Styela clava: one gene and its partner. The protein of the gene in region 1 interacts with the protein of each later gene in a pairwise test. Links are inferred from orthologs where the notes say so. Each region holds a gene or a part of one and is shown on either strand. Other genes may lie near its edges.

Region 1 (12,378 bases):
GGCTACACCTCAAAATAACATATTTCAAATCATGCATCTTAGTAATAAATACTCCCCGTAAAGGTATTATGTCTCGCCCATGCTTCCAGGGATGCCAGAAACGGGCGGTTCTGCATCGGCGGATATCTCCATGTTCACTTACGTAGAAATATTGGGATGTGGTCATTGCCATATAAGATCATAATGCGTAGACTGTTCTAGAAAAAGATACTCCTTCATTCAGGCAGACAGCTACAAATTAGATTATCGTTTTCAGTTTATTTCTGAGCCTTGAAGAAATAATCACTTAATATTCATTAACGAGCCTTACATCATACATTAAGCAGATCATACATTTCTAGAAGTCATATTTGTAGACCAATCCTTCAAAATCGGAAAAATAATGTATTTCCTAATATTAAAACAAGTAAAATTTAAATTCATTTAATGATGAGAATTAAATTAAACTAAGTAATCTCTCTCATTTGTAAAGGGTAGATTAAGTCAAGTTTGTAATATACCCACGACAAACGATTAATATACGTCGATTAAAATTGATATTCAATGGGGCAAATTAGAATCTGCATTTATAAATAGAAATCATAAATGTGAATGGGTTAAGTGGATGCTATTTTGCTTTTCCATAGTATTTCAACATCTGTAGTCTTTCTATGTTGTTTAAGAAATATCTTTCTAAAAGAAGATTACTTCAATCTACTATCGTCAATATGAGAATTAAGCAGAGCGTGATTGTAAAATCTATTTAGAATCCACAGATTCAAATTTGTCCAAACCTATTAAACATATGTACTTTTGTAGTTATAAAATTCTTTTCTTTGACTTAGAAATCATATTCCAAAAGTAATTCAATAATAAATGATTGTATAGACTCGACATATATCACGTTATTCATCAATAAGCCAATTGGAAATAAGTATTTTATGTACATTATGGGCACACTTTTTTATCCAGTAATCGGAAAATGTGATCAACATTATCGTCGATTTTATATTCAATTAATTACAGAATTTAAGATAGAATCACGCTATAGTACATTACAAAATTCTCAGTGTTTTCGCCACTTCAAAATAATCATTGGACTAGTTTTAGCACTGAACAATTGTTTCCACTTCCACTCAAGAGCGTTAGCTGACAAATCACAATGGCTGAAACTGTTCAATTGCAATATAATCAATCGAAGAAAAAAAGCTGGGCCAGCCGGATCGCTCTCCGGTAAAATCTACACGACGTCATTGGTGCTTTTAATAGGATGTGGTGTTTTTTCGCACCTTCAGAATGTACAATTTGTAATCGTAGAGTTTTAAATTCCAGAGTATAATGTATTCTACCGGCGGAATCTTATCAGGGATTAATTCTGCGATGTTATTTGCGTCATCATATCCCACTACGGACGCATTTAGCGAAGGCGTGAGCGCGGCGCATGTGCTGAGAAATCCCTAAAGACCATAGAAACTTTGCGAAAGAACGTATAGTAAATATAATTTCAGTATTATTATGTTTCAAGATATAGGACCTTGTTTATACACTGATCTTTCTCATAATGTTTCAAACCGGATGCGAGTGTAATAACGAAGACAAGTCAACTAAAATACCTGCTGATGAGTAGCGTATCAAAACTAATATTTCGAGACGTACACGTGTAAAAATACAAATTATGTTATACACTGAGCAAAAAATGAATAAAAATGAATAATATACAAAAAAAAAATAGCATGAACAACGGGACATCAAAAATTGCTTGCCATTGCAGACAATTTTGCTATGTGCGGCGGAGAAAAAACTTATCAAATTTTATTTAAATCCGTCTCTTTTCATGCAAACATAGATTGAACATTCGAGATCATTCAAAATTAGTTCGGTCTGTATATAGCTTTTTTTTTGGTTTCAGAATGAATAGTGTATATATGGTTCCATTACATTTGAACCCACATACATTTGAATTCACGACAATTGCACCTGCATACTATTGCACCTATGGAATTTTTTGTTTTTGTTTTACGAATATTTGAACCCATACTAACACTAACCCATGGGTTTTCGCATCCGCATATAGATTGAACCCGCGGATATACACATGGGTTCAAATGTACGTGGGTTCAAATGTACGGTCACCGTATATATATATATTATATATTTATTTGGAAAAATTGTCATGCTAAGAATTTGCAACATTACATATTAAAGAAATGAGCTCCATTCAAATCTGATCGGGCTGCCTGCAGAATATTATGTTATTTGGTTTTCACAAATTACTGGCAGTAAAACAAATAATTTAAAAAAGAATATTAACGACATACTTGTACTATTAATTGTCAATTCGAGCTGATGGATAACAGTGATCAGAAATGCATTACTAAACAATTACCCCAACAGCGAGCAATACCAACTACCGATTGTGATTAATGAACGTAAAACAAATGCGATTTAATTAAGCGGAATTCACAAGTCTCTGTGGGGTAGAATTTAATTAGGAAAAACATTGACAGAAAAGAGTTCATATTAGTTCACAGAGATTTCAAACGTCCAAAGTAGGCCGCGATGTACATCGATAGCGTTCTTCATGTTATCTAAGACGGAAGCAAGAATGGGCCTCGCCTATTCATACATAGCCCTATCTATAGGGTCATACTGCACTAATAAATTGATTTTCCATGGTTTCATATTGAAAAAACACTGTTAATTTGTAACTCAACGACCATAATAGGAAGCTGAGTATTTTCATCAAACAGTTCCGAACAATTAAATTTATTCCGCTCAACTATTTAATTATGCGTTAAGCTCATAAAAACTGCCTCTCACATTCTAATTATTATGGTAATGTAAAGTAAACTCTCGTATAAACTGTAAATTAACTGTATACATCACAATAAACGAACTCTGAAATAACGTGAATCTTGAACGCTTGGAAGATCAATATTTTAAACATAAAGAGATTACCCTAACGACCGATTTTTAGGGGCCTCTTACTGGAAATAGCACAAACATTTATTGCCGATATATAAAGAAAAACGAATGAGCGAGGCGAAGAATAGCTTCAAGTTTTCTTGCACCGTTTCAAAACTTCTGACTCGAATCTTTCTAAGCGAAATATTGTGCATCTTCGCCAGATATCTTCATAGCTCTATTTGTTATCACACAGTTATTACCAATGAGGCTATTACCGACTGTTGACTGTTTCTCCAATGATGCAAGCTTCCAAAATAAAAATATGTCAAAATCCCGATGGTGACGGTTGATAATTGAAATCCCTACGGGCTTTTATATTCCACAATCTATAGACACTGAGGCAATAGGCAACAATACTACGTACGATTGGCCGAATCACTCTTGTACGCGACCGATTATATCAGCATACAGCTGTTCTGACGAAGAACGTAGAACTCCTAACTCAGAGTACGAAACAGCTGTACACTCGTGAAACGTAAGATAGGGAGACATTTCAAGGACTTCTGCGGAACATCAACACAGATTTCCCTCGTACCTTCCAGAACTTAACATTTGTTCGATCTTGTTACTTTTACAACGTATTAAATGATAATGAGATTCGATCCGCGCTTGGGCCACAAATAAATTTTAACTTTCCGTGAGTAAATTCATTTTAATCTTATCCCAGTTGTTCGCAGCTTCATGGAATATAGCAAAATATTTTATTAGTAACAGTGAAATTTCCCCCTATGTTATTGCGCGGACATTACCCTCGGTGATAATGAGGAATGGCATCTCATCAAAGGTGGCTTTTGCTTTTAAGAGATAAATAAATTTAATTAGAAAAAGCTTAAAGGACAATATGAAACAAAAATCATCGCACTGGGAAAGGAAAGTATTGTTAACTTCTGTTCGTTTTAACTTGCAACTTGACTTTGATCCAAGGTCGCAACTACTGAAAACGAAAACGAAAATTTCAATTCTCGTATAATAGAAACTTTTACCTTTGAATTTGGATTAGTGATGTAATTTAATACCGCATAAAATCTATTATCCCACGCATTAGTAACCATGTTTCAAATTAAGATAAAAATACAATGCACAGGCGATTCAAAATGAAGTTTTCATTGGCAACAAAATTAGAAATATTTCGAATTAGAAATCAACTTTACTACAAGTTATTAAAATTTTAAAGTGAAAGATTAAAGGACTCGTTCTTGCTTGGTGTAAATTAACCATTAGCACGTCTACACAACTACCTATATATATAGGAAACTATACGTCAGTTGATATACTTATCTATGACAGAATTTGCCATTTGTATTCACCATGACATCATTAAAGGGGATACGCTTATGCTTGTAACTTCATCTCGGGTAAAAATTGAATAGGAATTTTGAAATAAAATTATTCATTGTTCAACATAACAAGTTTTCCCGAGTCTCGAGTCAAATCCGAGGTCCAGCTAATTTAAGAGTTTGAGTCTTGAGTCACAAGTTAAGTCGGGTTCGAGTAATAGTGGATTTCATAAACAACGATGAAATGGAAAATATTTCCCATATTTACCCTGTCATCTTTCTTAAAATCAAAGTTATTTTGAAAGTCAAAACTAGGATTTATTCAAGTATTGACAACATTCACCTAGGTATCGACACGGACTATTTTGAACTATTGATTACATAATCTTGCGAGTTTCAGATTATTTCAAAACAATATTTATCTGAATCGTATTTCAGGGAAATTGATATTTATATAGCCGACTGAAGTCCATTTTCTCTGTCTTTTTGTCCAGCCGTTCGAGTCGAGTCTTTTTATTCATATGATAGAAAAGACTAGAGCTTTTCGAGCCTGCCAAACCCCCGCGCTATTCGGCATGCTCCCGCCGAATCCCATCGCACTCAACGGTTGAAATTAGGAGCCCAATCCTAACTTTATAAGAGGGCAGCTAATTTCGTGCAAGGTTTTAGAAAACGAACACTATGGTTTACCTTAGATATCAATACCCCGTGTGGAAATAGCCATTGTTTTGTCATAATAGTGTCGGCGGCAGGGAAACAGATAAAAATAGCAACTTTGAAAATCCAAAAGATGATAATATGCCTCAAAATTCAAAAACGTTGGTACTTCAAACCATTCGTTTCTCAAACGGCATTGAAAGGGAAAAACAAATTTCGGCAATTGTATTATTATTATTTTTGCATAATTAGTATGACGAGGTAATACAAAAGTCCAATAATATAAAACTGTTCCAGACGACCTCCGTCGAACCCCTGGAACAGCTCCACCAAACCCCAGGGGTTCGATCGAACCCAGGTTAAAAACCATTGGGCTAGAGTCTGAATTGAGACAAGTTAATGATGACTCGAGTATACACAACACTACTTATCATCCGCGGAATCAGTAATGGGGATGTGACCGCATTTTCACAACTAATGCAGAGGTAAGTTAAGCGGGTACAGCTTTATATACACTTTAAATTCTATTACGTATATTATCATCAAAATGTGTTAAGCCTCTCCAAATTTATCAGGAGAGTATGCTTTAATTTGACGTCACCCAAGCTTGCGGAAGATTCAGACATCGTATCAAACCGTAAATATGATCAAACAGATAGTAGTCGAGAGAGCCTAGGCCAGGGTGGTCCAAACCCAAGCCCGCGGGCCACATGTGGCCCGTCGCTTCAATACCTGTGGCCCGCGTCGCATTTGCGCATGGGTAAACAAAAATTCGCATTTGGTGTTGTTTCGTCATAAAAATAACCAGAAAAATCTTTTGACATATTGTTACATCACTAATTTCACTGAATTGACTAGTATTTTGGCTAGCTGAGGCAACTAGCAAAGTTGAATGATGTGCTTGGCAGTCTAAATTTTTATCTGGCTTTCCATCTTTTTGGTCGAGAATATATGCTAACAAAATAGGTTTCATAGAAAACTGAAAACCGAATGGAGATCTATCAGCGCCTAATAACCAAATATTAATGTTATGTCCGAACAATACTATTCCCGCTGGGTGGTTTTTTGTAACCAGCCTAAACAGTATTAAAATGCTGCCTATATGTCAGAAAATTTGGCAATTACCCTCCTGTATCTTAAATTTGGTAAAATTAGGTAATCAATCAATCTGCAGTTACTTGTAAGTTAATTTGTAAACATGAGTTTGAAAATAAAGCTGACCAATTCAAACATATTTTTGACTGGGTGTGAGGGAAAATACCACAATGCTTGCTTGATATGTCCGCAAGTTGTGTCGGTGACAATTTAATACTGCAGTTTCTCTTTGTGACACTTTCTCCGTTATGAAAAGTTTGAAATCTTACACTAAATGTAGATATAGTAATATTTTTGCACGTTTTAGTGATTTTGTTTTTGTAGTTTTTGCATGCTTTAGCCTAAAAAAATGTCAAATAATGATCAATGTATTTGACAATAAAGGTCTTTTGTTTTGTATTGCACTGTTTACATATTCTTGGCACTATTTTGGCCCGCGACTATTACAAAAATGATAGTGTGGCCCGGGAGGTCGACAACCATGGACCACCCTGGCCTAGGACCTAGAAAAACTACGAGCAAATTGCACGGTACTGCCTCTTGTGGGGTCTGTGATACCAAGGCAACGTCGACGCCAACAGTGGGTCAATGTAGAATTGTAGAAACGATAACTTTTCCTTCGAAGTGTTTCCTTCCGTATATTCGTCTTTTATTGAAAAATTACAACTGGTTTAAAATATGGTGTTAACTTCAAACATCAAAGAATCAGTTAATAGCCGACAAGCAGGTAATAAAGTATCAAGTCGAAGTTTCAACAGCTTGAAAGGTCAGCATAATGGAACTGCTGCAGGTCAGTTTCCAGACGTAAAATAATTTAGATTTCTAACTTACTTAATACACTATTACACCACCATCGCTGGATCTGGCAGTCTGGTGAGGTGAAAAAAGTCAAGAAAAGATTCAAGAAGTTCAAAGATATTTTTTCAAACTACACCATACTAGTCTACAAAAAAATAAAAATACGTGAGAAAAACTCACATGACCGGAATTTGGGGATGTTACAAACTTAAAATGATGTTCACTTATGCAGATATTGGACCTAAAAGTACCACATTAGTATTTTATATCTGACAAGTACCACACTAAAACGCTTAACAGTTCAAATTCTGGCCAGCGAGCCTCCTGTCAGCCTGTTGCACACCCTGTTCTAAAGGGAAATACTGAAATAGAATGAGTCTGCACGAATGTATATATATATATATAAAATTTTGCGCGATCGTTGACTCGTACTAAGCGTTATTAAGACACTTGCCTTAACATTGCTGATTCCTCTGTAGGGATAATTATTGGAAAGAGGATTTCTAGACTGCCCCCCTAAGTCCATGAATTTGAAATCGATAACTGGTAAACTATTCCCATACTGAACATGGACTGATATCCAGAAATGAGATCCCGAACTTTTGTTATGTTTAATATTGTGTGAAAGTCTTAAAGTAATTATACTGTAAAATGTGGAAGCAAGCTGCTCATTCCGCTATATCAAAAGATAGGATTGAGCGAAAAAATACAGGGGGTTTAAGTGTTTCATCAAATCAAGCACAACAACCTGGTGATGAAGTTGAAGATGGAGAATTAGATACTGGTATCAGCGTGTGCTCTTGCTGTGAGATATTGATGAGTTTTGAACAAGTTGCATTAACCTTTTTTTTAAGTTTTGGAAAGTGTCAAACTAGCTAGTTTTGTGAGATTTCAGGTTTTGTGTTCCAATTAATCGAATCATCAATGTATGTAAACTTGGAGATAATCAATGTTAAATATTAACACCAACATTTCCGACTAATTTATGACTGATATATATAGATTGAATTTACTCATACCATATAACGTTAGTTCGAGTTAAAACCATATATAAACACTGATTAAAATAAAACAAACCTGGTGAAGATATATGTTAAGAACTGACTTTCGTAACACAATTGAAATTGTAACAGAATTTTATGAATACTTTGCAGCTAAATGTTTTTCTCTAATATAAGTACTGAGTTAGTGCATATGACATTGCTTGAATTTTTCAACCTATTTTGGATAATTTCTCATGCAGTTAGGATTTAATAATAATTTTTTTAGAAAAATATCAAAATTTTTGTTACACTTGTATCCAGAATTCATATGGTGCTTTACATTTCATTTTAAATTTTGTTGAAATTCTTTTGAGTTAACTGTCTATGTTGGCAGACTAGATAGCAAGTTTTCTATTGTTTAGCAATCAAACTTGGATATAAGTACACTATAGAAAGCTATGTGTCATAAGTGATACGTCTATGAACGTTTATAATATATGGAAATTTCAGTAAAAGTCAGGTTCCAGTTTACCAAAAAAAAAAAAAATTCCTCAACATATTTATTATTTTTGTGTAACTGAGTGGCTACTTTTTCCTAGAACTGGCCCTGACACCATTTATAGTTTCTTGAAGTTTGTTATTTAACCATTAAAACATTGCTTTTATTTGTTTCATTAGATGTGGTTTAACCATTGCATAACCAATAGCAAAACAAATATAGAATTTTTATTTTAAAGTTTTGAACAATTAAAATCTCTAACTTGCAATGGTATATTCATATTCTATTCAAAATGTATCCAAGCTACTTCTTCAAAGACTCTTTACTTGAAGTTGATAATTCTGTAATAAGTGTCATCAAATAATATTAAACTTTGTAAATTAGTTTGCATATTCTTATTAGTAAACTATTTAGGTCTAAAGAAGGCCCAAGCTGTCCAAAGCATAATAACATTTAAGAAGTATAAAATAAATGCTTTTCATAACTTTTTTGCTAGAATTTAGTAATTTTTTTTTTGTGTAACAAATGACTTCTGAATTATTTGAAATATAAAATACCTAAATGGTATTCTAAGATGGGATCTTCAATACCATAGTTAGAAAACAAATTTAAATAGCTACTGATCTCATCAATGTCTTAATTTTTTCTTTGTTTTATAGAAAAGGGAAAAAAGAAAGGGGCTGGTTCACCAGATCAAGCAATATCACCCAGAAAATCAGGAAGTGACATCTTGAATAGTGATGACATTCAGAAGTTATCAATCAGAGATGAAGATCTGCAGAAAGTTTGTTCCTAGTGTTTTTGTTTCCCAGTTTTTTTTTATTATACAAGAATATCTATATAAAGTATCTTGCTTTGTGAATCTAGTAATCATGCTAAACCTTGTAACATCCTCACAATCACATTGCTAATTACTCTTCATAGTGGGGACAGATTCAAATCCATGAGGGATCATGTGCAAGAAAGTTGTCAGGCTTTTTGCAATTTTAGCATGTTCAGGTCATTCTATAGTTTGTTTTTTATATAACACTTATTCATGGCTTTTTCGCCCTGAACAAAGCAACCAACGATGGGTACAAAGCTACTGTTTTTGGAAGGACTGAAATCTCTCCAGTTCGGCATTCAGCCTACTCAATTTAATACACCCTGGATGAGGTGGTGGCCATGGGATTTGATTCCAAGATGTGCAACATTAAGTATACCCATTAATTAACCAGACGCCCATTTTGACGTTATAGCTTACCCCACCAACTATGTCCAGGCATCGCAATAAATCTAACTGTCTGACTATCTTGATCAGGACTAGTAACCACACAAGAAGTCTGCATACTCAGTCTGAGATTGTTACTATATACGTTTCAGCGAGCTCGTAATAGATTGTCATTTTATTGGGATAAATATATTGCACCAAAAATGGAATTACCTACAAAATGCTGATATATATTCAGACATTTATCTTTTGCTTGTACAGGTTAGGAAATCACATGAAATCACATCAGAGAGAAGTACAAAACCGATAGAAACAAGTAGATATAAGGTTAAAAAACAAAAACCTCAATCTGAGCAAGAAAAACAACAGAAAAAAGTAATTGTTGCACGTACTGCTCCTGCTGATGCTGAACTCAAACCTATTGATTATTCTGGACCGTCAGGACCAAGGTATGTTAACTAGTATCAGTTATGGGATTCAGACGGTTCGTGCGAACATGTTTTCAGAATGCTGTGATAATGGGCAGAAAGGTTCTTGTTTTGTTTTTGTTTCCATACTAAACGACCCCAGCAAATGGGTAACAAACACCACAGCTAACGACTAGTGGTAAATTTGAAATTTTGAAAGTAATGTATTCAGCATATGTATATGAGATAATAAAACATGACTTAAAAGCCTATGTTGCTATGTTGAAGTGTGCCTTTATAGATATTTTAAATGTTAGAAGAATTTAAATCTTTTTCAATATACTAGTTATCAATAATTTAATGGTATATTACAAATTGTACGAATAAAAGTTGATCCCTGTGCTTTTGTGAGCTACCATAGTCCATAAGTAATGACTTTTGAACATTTTTAATTTATTTTGTAAGGTACAATCACCAGACAGGTGAAATAATATCACATAGTTTGCTTGGATCAGTTGAAGATTTTGTATCTGAAGCCGTTAAGCTAAATTTCATCAGGGTAAGGTTATATTTTATAAACATATTTTCATATCATATAGTCTGGTAGTCTGGTACAAGCCGGTCTTTTGTGAAATAACTGTTTACTTTCTAAACAAAATTATATAAGCTACATGGATTGGGTGTTTTTTTGATTTTTACCTGAATGACGAGGAATTGAACTTGCTTTGAGCATTATCATATATACATTTATTCATCATATTATATCATATTTTGGTCGTAGGTGTCCCAAAAACAGAACCTAGGTGATTTGTAACATATTCTACAGATATCATAGCTTTTGTGCAAAGTGTCCTAGATCATAGATTCTCAAAGTGCTCCCAGAGCCCCAGGGCTCCGTTAGAGAAACCCAGGGGCTTCACGAGCTATTCGATTACTTTTCAAAATACTGGATTTGCTAATTTTGTAACTGTTAAAAGAAGCAATAACAGCTTTGATAAAATTTGACAACAATATAGCCTCGAAATATGGCAAAGAGACGGAATTAAAAAATGACATTATTTATAAGCATGAGCGTAGCCAGGTTTCTTAAGACGGAAGGATATCAAAATTGGAATCGGAAATTTCCATGCAACATTATTTGCGATTAAAAAAAAACGGAAAACGAGATTTTTGTTGCGTAAAATATTCAATCCATGATCGATGCGAGCATTTAAAGTGTCTTGTCGTAATGATTCAATTGGGCTCATAGTTACTCACGTTTGATTCGAGATAACTATTAGGATTACTAAAATGAAAGAATACTATTCTGAAATAACATAAAATACGCGATAAACTGCCATCTATAAATAAATTGCAGTCGTATTTTTGCGATCTTGGTAGGCTACATCGCACGCACAATTGACTGTGGTCCCGTTTCGCAGTTAATACGATGAATAACCAAAGAAAACCTAACATAAACCAAATTTTGTGATTTAAAATGTCTATAAAAGCGTTTTAAATCTGTCGTGAGTCTGCTGAAACAAAACGTATAGTGTTATCTTCCATTTTAAGTTTTAATTTTAATATTTTAGAATGCCGCTTTTCAATCAAGAAATTTGAGTTGCGGATTCATCTCTTTACTATTTTTAGCATTTCGTCTCCGACGACTATAATATGGTAACATGTTTTTTCACACTGAACTCATAATTCCCCACGAGAACAAAAAAGCAATACTCGTCGACTCGTCGTCATTGTGGAACAATACATGTATATGCCGAAGGAAATTTTCGATTTAGGGAGAATAAACACCGCCATGCTGACGAAAATATTCGGCACTTGTAACAAAATGCAATCGCCTACGGTATTAGCGGCCTTTTAATTCTTTCAAAAATGTCTAAAGATTCGACCCCTAATTTATTAATATGTTTGTCAAGTGTCAAATTTACAGCTTTGGTATATATAATTTATCTTTGACATTTAGATTCATTTATGACTTGTAATATCCCTATTAAAGGAGGTTAGCATTTAAATTAATTAAGTAAAGTACTTTTAAATCACTCAGGAATATTATTCGGAAAATAACAATTTTAACATTTATTTTGGGGCTCGTGAATAATAGTCAACTTTTTCAAGGGCTCCGCAACACAAAAAGTTTGAGAACCCCTGGTCTAGATAACTAAAACTCGAGAGTACAATCAAAGTTAAGATGTTAATTAAATTTTCTTCCTTTTTTAAGAAGTAATTATGAAATCAAGGATTTTGTTATTTTGGGCACTCTGTATGGTAAAAACGATTCCTGGATATTTGCATTTTAGTTATACTCTTCTTTGCAATGTATAATATAAACAAACATCTTTTAAAATTGAATATATAAATAGGTTTGTACACATATCTCCGCAGCAGAACCAAGTAGCTTATGCATTATGCCTCATTTTAACGTTTTGTGAAATTTGTTTTAAAAGATCGCTTCTAACAGCCAAGCATAAGGTCATTTTAAGGCTCCGCCTAAAATTTAAACTAAAACAGG
Region 2 (11,750 bases), on another chromosome or scaffold:
ATCGTTTCAAAAAATCTGTTAAATCACATCCTTTTCATATACCTTTTGAAGTTATGTGAAATTCATTACCTCCTAGCTGTGTTACCTACTTCAAGCGTCACCTCTCTCAATATTAAGTAGCAAAAAATATACATAATAAACTGCCACAAAGTTGATGAATTTAACTAGCCGCTCGTAATCAAAGCACTCCAACAACAATTGGAGTGTGAAAATAATTATCTACAATTTGCGTCGACATACCTTTTTCGCTTTATGCATGTCAAAACAGCAGCTTCAGTATTATTTAGCCAATTTTTTTATGAAATTTTTATATTTACAATTGAACTGTTTCCATCCACTGATCACACATGCAAAACAATGTGCACCAAATTGTTAAAAAAAATAAAATGGAACAGTACAATATGGATCTTGTTATTGAGTTATGGGTCCTGCGTTTACTTCAGGAAGTTGCGGTAATTTGCTTTGAGAAGGGAGTTTTATTGCTGTTGCTCGCAACCTATATGAGATACTCAGCAAAGCATATCCGTAGCTTGAGGTAATTTTTTTTCATGTAGCGCTTATTCATGCTCTTTGCTCTGAGAAGGGCCGTGTTAAATCTTTTTTATGTGGTGCTCATTAACCTCTGCTCTGAGCAAGTTCCTGTACAACCAACCACTGATATTTATCATATTAAAATTCACGGATCAGCACATAAAAACAACAAAGATCAGAAAAAATAAAGCTCAGTTACTTTTAACGTGGTAACTTGCAGCTATTTTGGTCGAGGTGGTAATTCGGACACTGACAAACTAACATTGGATCGATTCTCGAACATGTATTTTGACAAAACTTGAAATCAGTTAATTAAGCACGAATATTCATTTAGATAACAGTAAACAAAAAGAAGAAAGCAATTGCCAAAACCTGTTTATTTGTAATCTGTAAGGCATGGCTGAAGTAACTTGATGTAGTTATTATGAAACTAAAAACTATTAGAAGTGTTTTATGTAAATCTTTTGATGGAATAGCGTCATGAGACCATTTTTTTCGCTATACTCCTGATGAATAAAAGAAGACTTTTTAAAAATGTATTTACAAATTTTATTTTCAAACTCCAAATATAGTATAAAAACAAATAATAAAGATTGTACACTGTATACACGCAAAACATTGGATCACAGATTATTCTGGAGAATTACTGACAAGGTTTATAGATAATTTTATCATGAAAGAGTAGGTGATGAGCAAAAATTCATAGATCTTAGAAATATTGAGATACTTGCGTTTATGAATAGAGCACTCTTGGTTTAAAAAAAGATACAGTTTACATACATAAAAACAGGTCTGCTCAGTACAATTAAAAATCTGTCTTCAACTGAAAAATTGAAGGCAGCAACAACTTCGTCAAGCTATACGGTAGCCTATAACTGTATGATGAGACTGACGTTTCTGAACAATGTTGCTATGACTTTAAAAAATAGACTCTAAAATGGTGAATATTGAAGTAAACTAGACGCTAAAAACATTGCCAAATCATTACTGACAAAATAACAGCATTTCCTTGTTAATTGAGATATGGGCCCTAGATAAAAATCCGCACTTTCATAAGTGGAAGTGACCAATATTTTATTCTGTTGCCTCTTCTGAAGGCTCATATTTTTCAAGTCTACTTTTAAGTTCTGCATTTTCATCTGTGAGTTGTGATACTTTTCCCCTGAGTTCGCTAACCTCTAATCGTAGAGACTCCACATCAGCAGTTTCAGGTCCTGCTGCTCCGAGATGTTGGCGGAGAAATTCCAGTGCCTGTGAAGGTTTTTCCGGCTCCTCATAAAGATTTACCAAAACCTTTGTTAGGGCATCTACCACGCCTGACTGTTCAAGATATTTCCGGAATTCTTCTCTTTTCGAATCTGCAGCTCGATAAGTCGTCATATTGCGGCTCCGATTGAATACACAGTCCAGTAACGAAGAAATCGCGTAGGAAAAGCGACGTGAAACGAAAACAACGGAAGAGATTATCGCCAAGACGACGACGACTATTGTTGGCGCGATGATGTCAGAGGTTATTTCTTAGGTTGTCAGATGAAAAGATATGAGAGAGAGAGAGAGAGATTTATTATTTGTCAACCAGAAATAACAAATACAATTATAATAAATATAAAGTAATAGGAATAACGTTTCTTCGGTATAGACTGGAGGGAGCGATACGACCATACGGTCATCAGGATCAGCTCCCACCATGTTCGCACCAATTAAAATAAGTTCACAGTAAAAATACTTATTATTATAAAGCGGTTATAAATTCTAGAATTTTGTATCTTTGGAAAAAAATAGGGAAACTCGACCAAGGGTTTTGTCTGTTCTTAACCCTTTCCATGCGATTTTTATCTTTTATTAAATAATCGTATTTGCTACGCCGACTTTATGCATTTGTACCCCCACAACTAATCGATCGACTAACGAAAAAGTAATGATCCTCTGCTGCCCACTGACGGCTCGTTGAAAAGCTTATTTAAAGAGCTTGCAATTGGCGATTGAAAAATTTTTTTTTTCCAAAAGGGGTGGTCTGAGTCACAAACCGGATAGAAAAAAGGCATTTTTTTTTCTTGGGTGTTGAAACTTCAAACCGTGATAAAAAATAGAAATATTCGCTAAATCCTTTACTGTTACCGCTTCTTGGTTGGCAAACAATAGCATGATATTGCTGTAGCAATTTCGTTATCTAACTCAAAATACTTTGGTAGATGGAAGGGATAATATGTCTTCTATTACCACCCAAAACACACCGAAATTTGCATAAATTTCAAAAACACTCCCTCGTTCCGCCGCAAATAAAATTTCCATGGTAAACGAAAGCGAGATTTACCGTCGCTTATGTTAATCTCGAAGAAGACTTCTTATCAATAAACTAAAACCCGGAAAAACTAGACCAACAGTTTGCGACCGATTGCTAAATAAAACAGTGGAGTACATCAACGTACCCGCCGCAAACTAGCGAGTTTTGTCGTGGGTACGTAGACGTGCCCACCGCACGGAAAGGGTTAAATGACAAATAGTTATTTGGAGTTCGAGTAATAAATTTTTTCGAGTGAATTTTTTTTTAGCGGAAATAAAATAATATAGTTAAACGAAATAAATATTGAGACGGTCATTTCCCATGTACTACTCATGTGGCCAATGTTCAAACTGCAGTTGAAGTTTTGGTAACTTGTTGCTATGTATTGGCATTCAAATAAACGTTTGATTGGAAATTGTTCAAAAAGTATGATCTTGTCTTGTCTGACGCTAAAATCAGAAGCGCAACAAAGCCTAGTCAGAAAATATGCAATACATATGATGGCTGATGGCGCACCTTTCACTGGCTTTAGCTGCAACTTTTAGTAACAAGCACTGCATGCAGAACGTCCGACTTCAGGCCATTCTTGAAATGATTCTTTTCTATTTATTGAACCAAATTCCTACACCCTCAAATCTCGTTTTGCAATAGAAAAAATATGCAGAGTTCGCCGTAAAAATACATTAATTTCATTTGTTTTATTGGATAATGATGGAATACAAAGACCACAATAGAACTAACACAATGAACAGTATTGAACATAAATAAGAATAATAACTAATTACATAAAACATAACATTCAGTTTCAAGTTATATATTAGATTTAGGTAAGTAAAGGTGCCATGTTGATGCCAGGTTATAGTGACATACATATATTTTCTGAAAAGAGGGAATCTGTCGTCAGTAAGTACGATATAAAAGATAACCGGTTCTTAAAATTTTCAATCCCACCGGTGATAACGCTATATAATAATATACAAGATTCGATAAAACACAGTTTTCTACATATCAACATTTTTTCACGGTAACATATACATTTGGCAATTTATACATCAAAGTCACTCGTTTAGTATAAAATTTTCCATTTTAGTCTGAAATAATAAAATGTACTACCTTTTTTGTTCTAGATTAATCAATTGCACATAAAAATAATAATCTCATCAATTCTCATTTTGAAACTTTCGTCAACAATGCATATGTTATCACCCTGCTTCAGCTCTGATTTCTTCAGTTGTTGTCACCATTTTTTGAAATATGGTTTCTGCCTCAGTAGGAGAAATATCAATCTCAACATTTGAAACATATCGCTGATTAAATATGTTCACAGCACTCTCATATTGGTAATTTTTTTTCAAATTTCGTGGATCTTGTTTGAACAACCAGATTAATGATTCAGATCCATTATAAGTAGAAAGTGTCAGATGGTGAGCAACAAGACGAAACTATAAGGTAAACAAATATTATTACTGGTAAAAACGATTATTTGTGACTTTCCAGGTGTCCAACATGGCCAAAATGATGAAAAATAACCAGTCCCATTTGAATTTACCATGTAAATTTGAGATCGAAGTGAATCAATTCCCGTTTGAGAATAATAGTGATAGTTTTATGGTTCTATTGGACCAGGGGTGCACAACACATGATCACTTTGGCAAGTCATAGACTCGAACAAAGCGTGAACACTGAACAGTTTGGTAAAAAGTAATTCTTGTATTTATAATAAACCCTAACAATTCACGTTTATATCGGAATGAAATCAACATGTTTATTCACAGATCACCAGAGAAGAAAATAGCCAAAAATAAGTGAGTAGACTAGTCTACATCATCTAAAATATTCAGATTTTTTAAATGCCTCCAGGACTATTAAAGTCAAGTTTTTCTTATAAAAATAAATAGATAAAATAAATAATTTTCTGGAAAACATCCTTTACTTTCACACTTACAAGCATAAAGAGAAATTCCACAATCTTCCATAACCATAATGGTAATATATTTTCTGACATCGCAGTGATGCAAAGACCAGGTTCGGCGAGGTGGCTATAAATCCCTTCTCTGTTGTATCGTTGATTCATTGCAATGCTCAACGCATTAATAATATATTTTGAACTGCCATATGACATGTTCCTGAATAAAGAAAATGATTCTACGCTAACGAAAAACAAAGGCAATGTATAAAGAAAGTGGAGTGGAATTAGGTGGTTGAAAGCATATCATCTCCTTTTCTCGGTAGAGACGAGCCATTTCTGTGTATAGTAAAATGAAAATTCAATTTTTGAAAATTGAAATACAGTCCCTTATCAGATTAATATTGTACCAATAAAAACACTCTAAATCAGTGCTCTTCAACAGGGGTTCCGTGGAACCTTGGGGTTCCGCGTAAAGGAAAAATTGACTGCTGGGCCAGTAAAGTTGCAAAAAATGATTATTATTCTTTTCCGTGTTTGGATGAATTTCTAAGTGCGCAACAGCAAGAAGGACTCATAGATATCTGTAATGATATTAATTCGGAGGAAACCTTCGAAAATCATGGGAAGGAAGATTTTTGGATTTTTCTTCACAAAGAGGGTAGGAGCCATTGCAAAAAAAGCAATAAAACTTCTGTGTCAATTTCCCAATACCTATTTGTGTAAATCAGTATTTTCTGCTTTAACAATTATTAAAAACAAAAAAGAAGTTTTTAAAGAGTGTAACCATGAGTATGATAATTGCTTTGAGCGCCGTGGAGCCACGATTCAAGAAAATTGGAAAGGAAATGCAAGAACAACATAGTCATTGAATTTCATGCTTGTTACCTTCTTTCTGTTTCGTTCTTGAAGTAGAAATATTCGAATTACAAATATTTCGTTTTACGAGTATTTCGTGTTTTATTTTTATTTTTGTTATTTGGGGTTCCATAAAAAACGAAAAACGATATCAGGGGTTCCGCAATAACAAAAAGGTTGAACAGCACTGCTCTAAATGAGTTCCTGAAAAAAAAAAAATTTTACCCATGATTGCACATAAAGTCATCCATGTTAAAACTGCTTTTTACAGCATTGTTAGAAGCTGTCCACACAATCTTAGATTTCTCTTGCCCATCAGATCTAAGAAGAGGCAATAATTCCTGAACCTGAAACAAAGAAATAATGCAAAAGAGTTAATCAAGGATAGAGATATATCAAAAAAATAAATCAAAACCAATTAAAAAACAGTGTTCCATTGTTAACAAGTTTCGAACAGATCGAACTCATATTTTTGTTGATAAAGAACTTTTCTCACCAGAACAAAATGTCCCAAAACGTTAGTTGCAAAAACTAGTGGTATTCCAGATTCATTCAATGGATTGGCAGATTCAATGATATTCTCTCCAGTCTTTAACCGAGCTAGAACATTCCTATATCAATAATGATAAATTGTTTACACTTGTTACATGTAAACAAAAATACCAACAAATCGATAATAATAAAGTACTTGGCATGACAGAAAAAAGCAATATATTTATGATAATTGCAGTATAAATAAAAATGGAGTCCTCCAAACTTCCCTGCACATACATTTGCACTTGCAATGCCGATACATTTGTATGAAAAAAGGGTACCCACTTAATTTTGGAACCACAAATATTTCACCCTATAATTTGTTACTTATTACAGATAGGTTTAATAAGACTTAAATTGGCTTCACTGTGCTGAACTCACCGGCTGAAAAGACCAGAAATATGAAGTTTCTTCACAGGTAAAATCCCTGCATTCAGATACAAAAAGTCAATTTTCTTATATCTAAAATAGGAAATTGAATCAAATCAGTTTTAAACATGTGGAAATAGGCAGTGAAGAATTAATGAATCGTCCTATAGCATGTATCTAGAGTAAAACTCACAATACAGAGTATTAAAAAGCAAGCCTGACAATAAGGTAGTTGAAAAGCAATTCAGAAAAAAAGGTTTAATAAATAATGTTTTGAATTTGGAGTATTTTGCATAGAAATGCTTTGTAATGTCAAATGTTGATGTAAATATGTACTATTGAATCTATTCACCATTCAGTGTAAGGACCATTTGGAGTTTAAAATTCATAAAAACCATGGGTCTAGTATTTCCAGATTTTCTATTCTAGATCAAATTATACATATGATATGACATAATGCATACTTTTCTTTTATGATATTCACTCCTTCTAAAACAGATTTTAAATCTCCAGTATCCATGTTGACAAGTTCGATTTCAGCAGATTTATGCGATGCCAATAAAGTAGAACGAACATATTCTCCCTTTCTCATATTTCGACACAAAATACAAACACGAATGAGGAATTGAAGTCTTACTTCGAGAAGAATTCTATGAAGGAAGCTGAGACCAATCCCACTGAAAAAAAATTCATCAACGTGTAAGCAATTTTAAAACTGATATAATTATAAATAACACGATGAAAATTGTTTCAAATTAAGATGTAAAAGATATAAATTATTAGCAGCTTGTTGCAAAATAGTATATCGGAAATGATAAAATATCGTGTGTATAACTGTATAACATAACGCAATACTATTATAGGGAGAGAGAGAGAGATTTATTATTTTGTCCATCAAAAACAAACAGTTAGTAATAAGACAAAAATACATAACACAAATAAAATTGCTTTGGTATTGGCGGGAGGGAGCGATACGAGCATGAGGTCGAGGTCAACTCCCACCATATTTGCTGAAGTGATTAATGTTCACATTGAAGATGACTATTAGAAAATTTGGTCTGTTGATTAATACTTAAATTAAAATTAAAAATTCGATGTAATCTCAGGAAACTATTGGGGGAGGACATGTTTTATTGGGAACTCATTTACACAATAAAAGTTCTATATGCTTTAGATGATGGGAATAATAATATATACAATCATTCGATGTAAGAAAAGAGAGGAAAAAAAAAAATATATATACATATATAAACTCTACATCAGTGGATGATGGGCTCGAAAAATGTGGTAAAAATGTATCACCAGAAAGACAAAAGATTATATGCATATTAATAGGATTACTAACATATTTAAGCCAGTAATAAAAAATATTATATGGAAACAGAACACAGGGGAAAATTCATTACTTCATTGGTAAACAGCTAATTTATGCAGTTATGGCTAACTTTAAACTACAGTCTGATTACTTTCGTACCATTCAAATGGATTTAGATCAGGGCTTCCTAAACTAGGGGCCCCAATATTATGGGCCGCAAAAAGAGCACCAATTTTATACAAAGTACTATATCTATTGTACTTTTCCAGAATCTTGATTCGAAATACAATTATTAAAAATGATGTGAAACAAAAATTTCACGATTCCTAATGAACACATCATCATACTGTGTAAATAAGATTTCAGTGTCTTCAATTTTATTTCGAAAATAACACTAGGGCTGATTTTGAGGGAATGCAGAGAATAACGATAATAATTTTTATTATACAAAATATCTACGATATAAACGAGTTATTCTAGACAGATTTAAAAAGTAGAAAGAGTAGAAATTTCTTGAGTGGAAATTTCTTGCTATCGACTAGGACTCAGTGGTTCTCGAACTTAATTGAATTGTGACGCCCTCCAAAAATATGCTCAAGTTACAACTACCTGTGAAAATATGTATTGATACCTTTCAATAGAAGACTTTTTCTGCAAGGATTTTCATATAAAGGAACAAACAAAACATAACGACAGTCAGTGAAATCATATTTAATGGGCCTTGGTAGAAAAGTTTTCCCTATATGAAAACGAAATCGCAAAGGGGATAGGAGCTCGCAACGCTTTTTGAACCAAGAAAAATAATCTTAATTTACAGAAAACCGAATTTTCAGAATTAAAATTGTAACACCATCACAGGTAAGATCGATAGAATCTTCCCTTTTTTCTGTAAAAGTAGAAGATATGGGTTGCTTGAAAGGTTAACAAATCATAAAATTTTGCGACATCCTAGCAAAATTAAAACGACGCACTTCCACGGGATGAGGTCAAAAAAATTGCCCTATAGACTAAGTCTTTTTAAAGGGGAGCGCTTATATTAATATAATTTCCAAAATTCAGGCTTGGTTTTATTTTCGGGGAAAAAACAGTAGAATCATCGCGCTTGCATAACAATGTATATTCTGATCGTAAGACCCGATTTGCGTGTGCTTGCATAACAATGCCGGCTTTAATAATTATTAAGCTAGCGGTTCCCGAAGGCGATTTGCTAAGTACGCCTCGAAATATATTACATATTTTATTTATTCCAAATGTTTTATTGTTTCTCATTGTTGCGAATGATGTGTACACGAATCAAATTCATTTTACTGTTCTATGTTGTGTACGCTCTGTTATGTCGGGTATATTGTTACGTAACAGAAGAGGTAAACCCTACATGCTGCAATTTCGCATGCTGCCGTTTATTGATTTGCCGAACACCAGTGATTTTTTTAGCATTTTAAAGAAAAACCAGGCAGAGATAAGATAAGTACATATTAACGATGACAAAATTGTGTTTTATTATCAGGCAGCATATTTTTCGTGTAGATGCGCCATGATTTTTTACCATGATACTTCGGCGCCACACAAACCGCTGTCTTATGCTGAGTTTGATCAATAAGAGTGAACAATTCCGGATAAGGACCATGCCATCGGTGGCCAGAAATCGTAATTCATTATTTAGGCCTGCATAAACAAACATTGAGCCGAGGCTGGACTTGCTATACAGCAAAAAGTATTCGCACCTATTACACTGAATAATTGAGTAGCGTTAATCTGAATAAATATGTGCTTGTTTTTGTAATTGAGTAGGCCTACTAAAAGTTGAGAATTAGTCTAGCTGTGTCAATTAAACATCAAAAATGCATATTTCGAGCTGTTTAGCAGTATTAACTCGAACAAGGGCCGTAGAAAATTAATATATGGTATTAAAAAGCTCAAAAGCCCTGATCTAGATAATAATAAATCCATGATAGACGAGGCGTTTAGCCAACACACTGATATCCAGTTAAAATGACAGAAAAGGTGCAATCATACAAGAAGTAAATTAAAAACCCATATCGCAAAATCCGCGTGCGGTCATGCCATATAACAGTAAACAAATTTCTTGCAAAAATGGTAGAGAATAAAACTGTTACCTTGTTGCTCCAGTTATTACAAGAACTTTAGTTGGCAACGCCATTTCCCTGCTCTCTACTACTTCACGACCTACCGGTATCTCAGTTCAGCCTTTTGCATTTGTGGCGTCACGTCTCCAACGAAACATCTGGCGGGCGTCATATTCGGGAAAGTACCACTACCAAGTTGAACCGTAGTAGAGAGAGAGAGAACTTTTTGTTTCGTCAAACCAGAAAACACATACAATATATATATGATAGCAAATAGATAGTAGTATATATTTACGGTTGAGAGAGAGAGTTTATTTTTATTTGTCAAACATATATTTACGGTCAAACCATGAAACACACAATACATGCATGAATATATAAATAATAAAAAAAACAGATGCTTTGGTATAAGACAACGATACGACCTTTTGGGGTCAGCAGAGTCTGTTGCCACCCATACAATTATATTATTAGTAATAAAATAAATCATCAGGTACGGTGTAAGGAAATACAATACCTCTCGTTTATTCATTATATACACTATTTACAAGACTTTCTCATTTTTAAAAACAAGAAATTTCGTGTTGAAAAATACTGTTTTGTAGTATATTTAGTTGAAAGTTTGTTATATATTGCATAGTATCTATAGAAATGCTTGAAGTGAAATGGGTTAACTAGGATACCAAATACTTTGACAATTTGCCATTTTTTTTAATAGTATTGAATGTAAGTGGGCATGGATTAACAATGTGCGTACATGGGGTAAATTTTATTACAGTATACATAGAATGAATAGAAAAATAAAATTAGGAGCATAAATGAGACTAACCGAATGAGATAAAAATTTATTTTCACAGTACAATTCATTAGTCCAGACCAGGGTCGTCCAACTCGTGGCCCGCGGGTCATATGTGGCCCGCGAAAGCATTTCGAGTGGCCCGCGCTGTATTTTTTTCAGAATTAAAAAAAAAATAAAGTGAAATTATTTTTTGATTAATGTAGTATACAAAGATGTGATACAAACGATTTGTTCATTTTCCTTAAATGCGCTCTGCCAGCCCTTTCAAACGAGCTATGAGTGCCATTTTGAATCGAAATCAACTGGGATACATAATCGATACATAAAGATGCCATAGTCGCCTACACACACACTTGGTTTTTTACTACTCTATATGATGTTATCGCAAAATAATCGAAGCCATTTCCAGATTGAGAATTTGTTGATGTTATGTATTGTTCGGGTTGCCAATGTTTTTACGCCCGAAAATAAAAAAGGTGTTTGCAAAAATGGCCTGTCAAGACGGACCATAACTCGTCGTGTTGAAGAGATTGGGAACTCTATAGCAGAAATTGTAATTGCAAAGGCGGGAAAAGCGCTTAACGAAAGCACTGGCATCAAGTTTACTGCTCAGTTGGCGACTTGGCGATCTTTTTTCGGGGAGTTAATGATGATTTGAAATTACCGAAGAGCTCGCAGCCATTTTCCCTGTTAATGGTACGGCTAGAGACGTTGGTTTGTTAGAAGCTGTTATAAAAATGATTAAGCGTCTTGGCTTGTCTTTGACGAAACTTTCGGGAATAACCATCGATGGCGCCCTATATTGGGAAACAACAGTTTTATTGTTCTGATAATTGTGAAACTTCGGTGTGAGGGCATTGTTTGTTATTTCATTAGCCCGTAGCAAAACTAGAACATAACTACCATGTTAAGTGACCCGCGCAATTATTAGTAAATTACATGTGGCCCTTCGGCCAAAAAGGTTGGACGACCCTGGTCCAGACCATTCAGGTTTTGCAGTAAAATGTATTAGAGATACAACATATTGGTTCAAGGATTGATGAAAAAAGTTATTTGGTGGAAAGGAA

Evidence for each region.
Region 2: the proteins of MYCBP-associated protein-like (region 1) and c-Myc-binding protein-like interact in binary tests that used the Homo sapiens proteins (3 or more experiments, as listed by UniProt). The link is inferred for Styela clava from reciprocal best matches to the Homo sapiens genes MYCBPAP and MYCBP.

The regions. Positions count from the first base shown.
Region 1 is NC_135263.1:16,710,340-16,722,717, forward strand, and holds the start of MYCBP-associated protein-like, read left to right. Parts: upstream 1-7,396; 5' UTR 7,397-7,424; coding exon 7,425-7,557; intron 7,558-8,914; coding exon 8,915-9,039; intron 9,040-9,726; coding exon 9,727-9,914; intron 9,915-10,337; coding exon 10,338-10,431; intron 10,432-12,378. UniProt on the Homo sapiens protein: May play a role in spermatogenesis. May be involved in synaptic processes.
Region 2 is NC_135251.1:13,588,306-13,600,055, reverse strand, and holds c-Myc-binding protein-like, read right to left. Parts: upstream 2,018-11,750; 5' UTR 1,912-2,017; coding exon 1,606-1,911; 3' UTR 1,057-1,605; downstream 1-1,056. Other genes in the region: 3-keto-steroid reductase/17-beta-hydroxysteroid dehydrogenase 7-like, read right to left, coding at 4,018-4,257, 4,761-4,941, 5,805-5,926, 6,076-6,190, 6,495-6,575, 6,947-7,159, 9,915-9,958. UniProt on the Homo sapiens protein: May control the transcriptional activity of MYC. Stimulates the activation of E box-dependent transcription by MYC.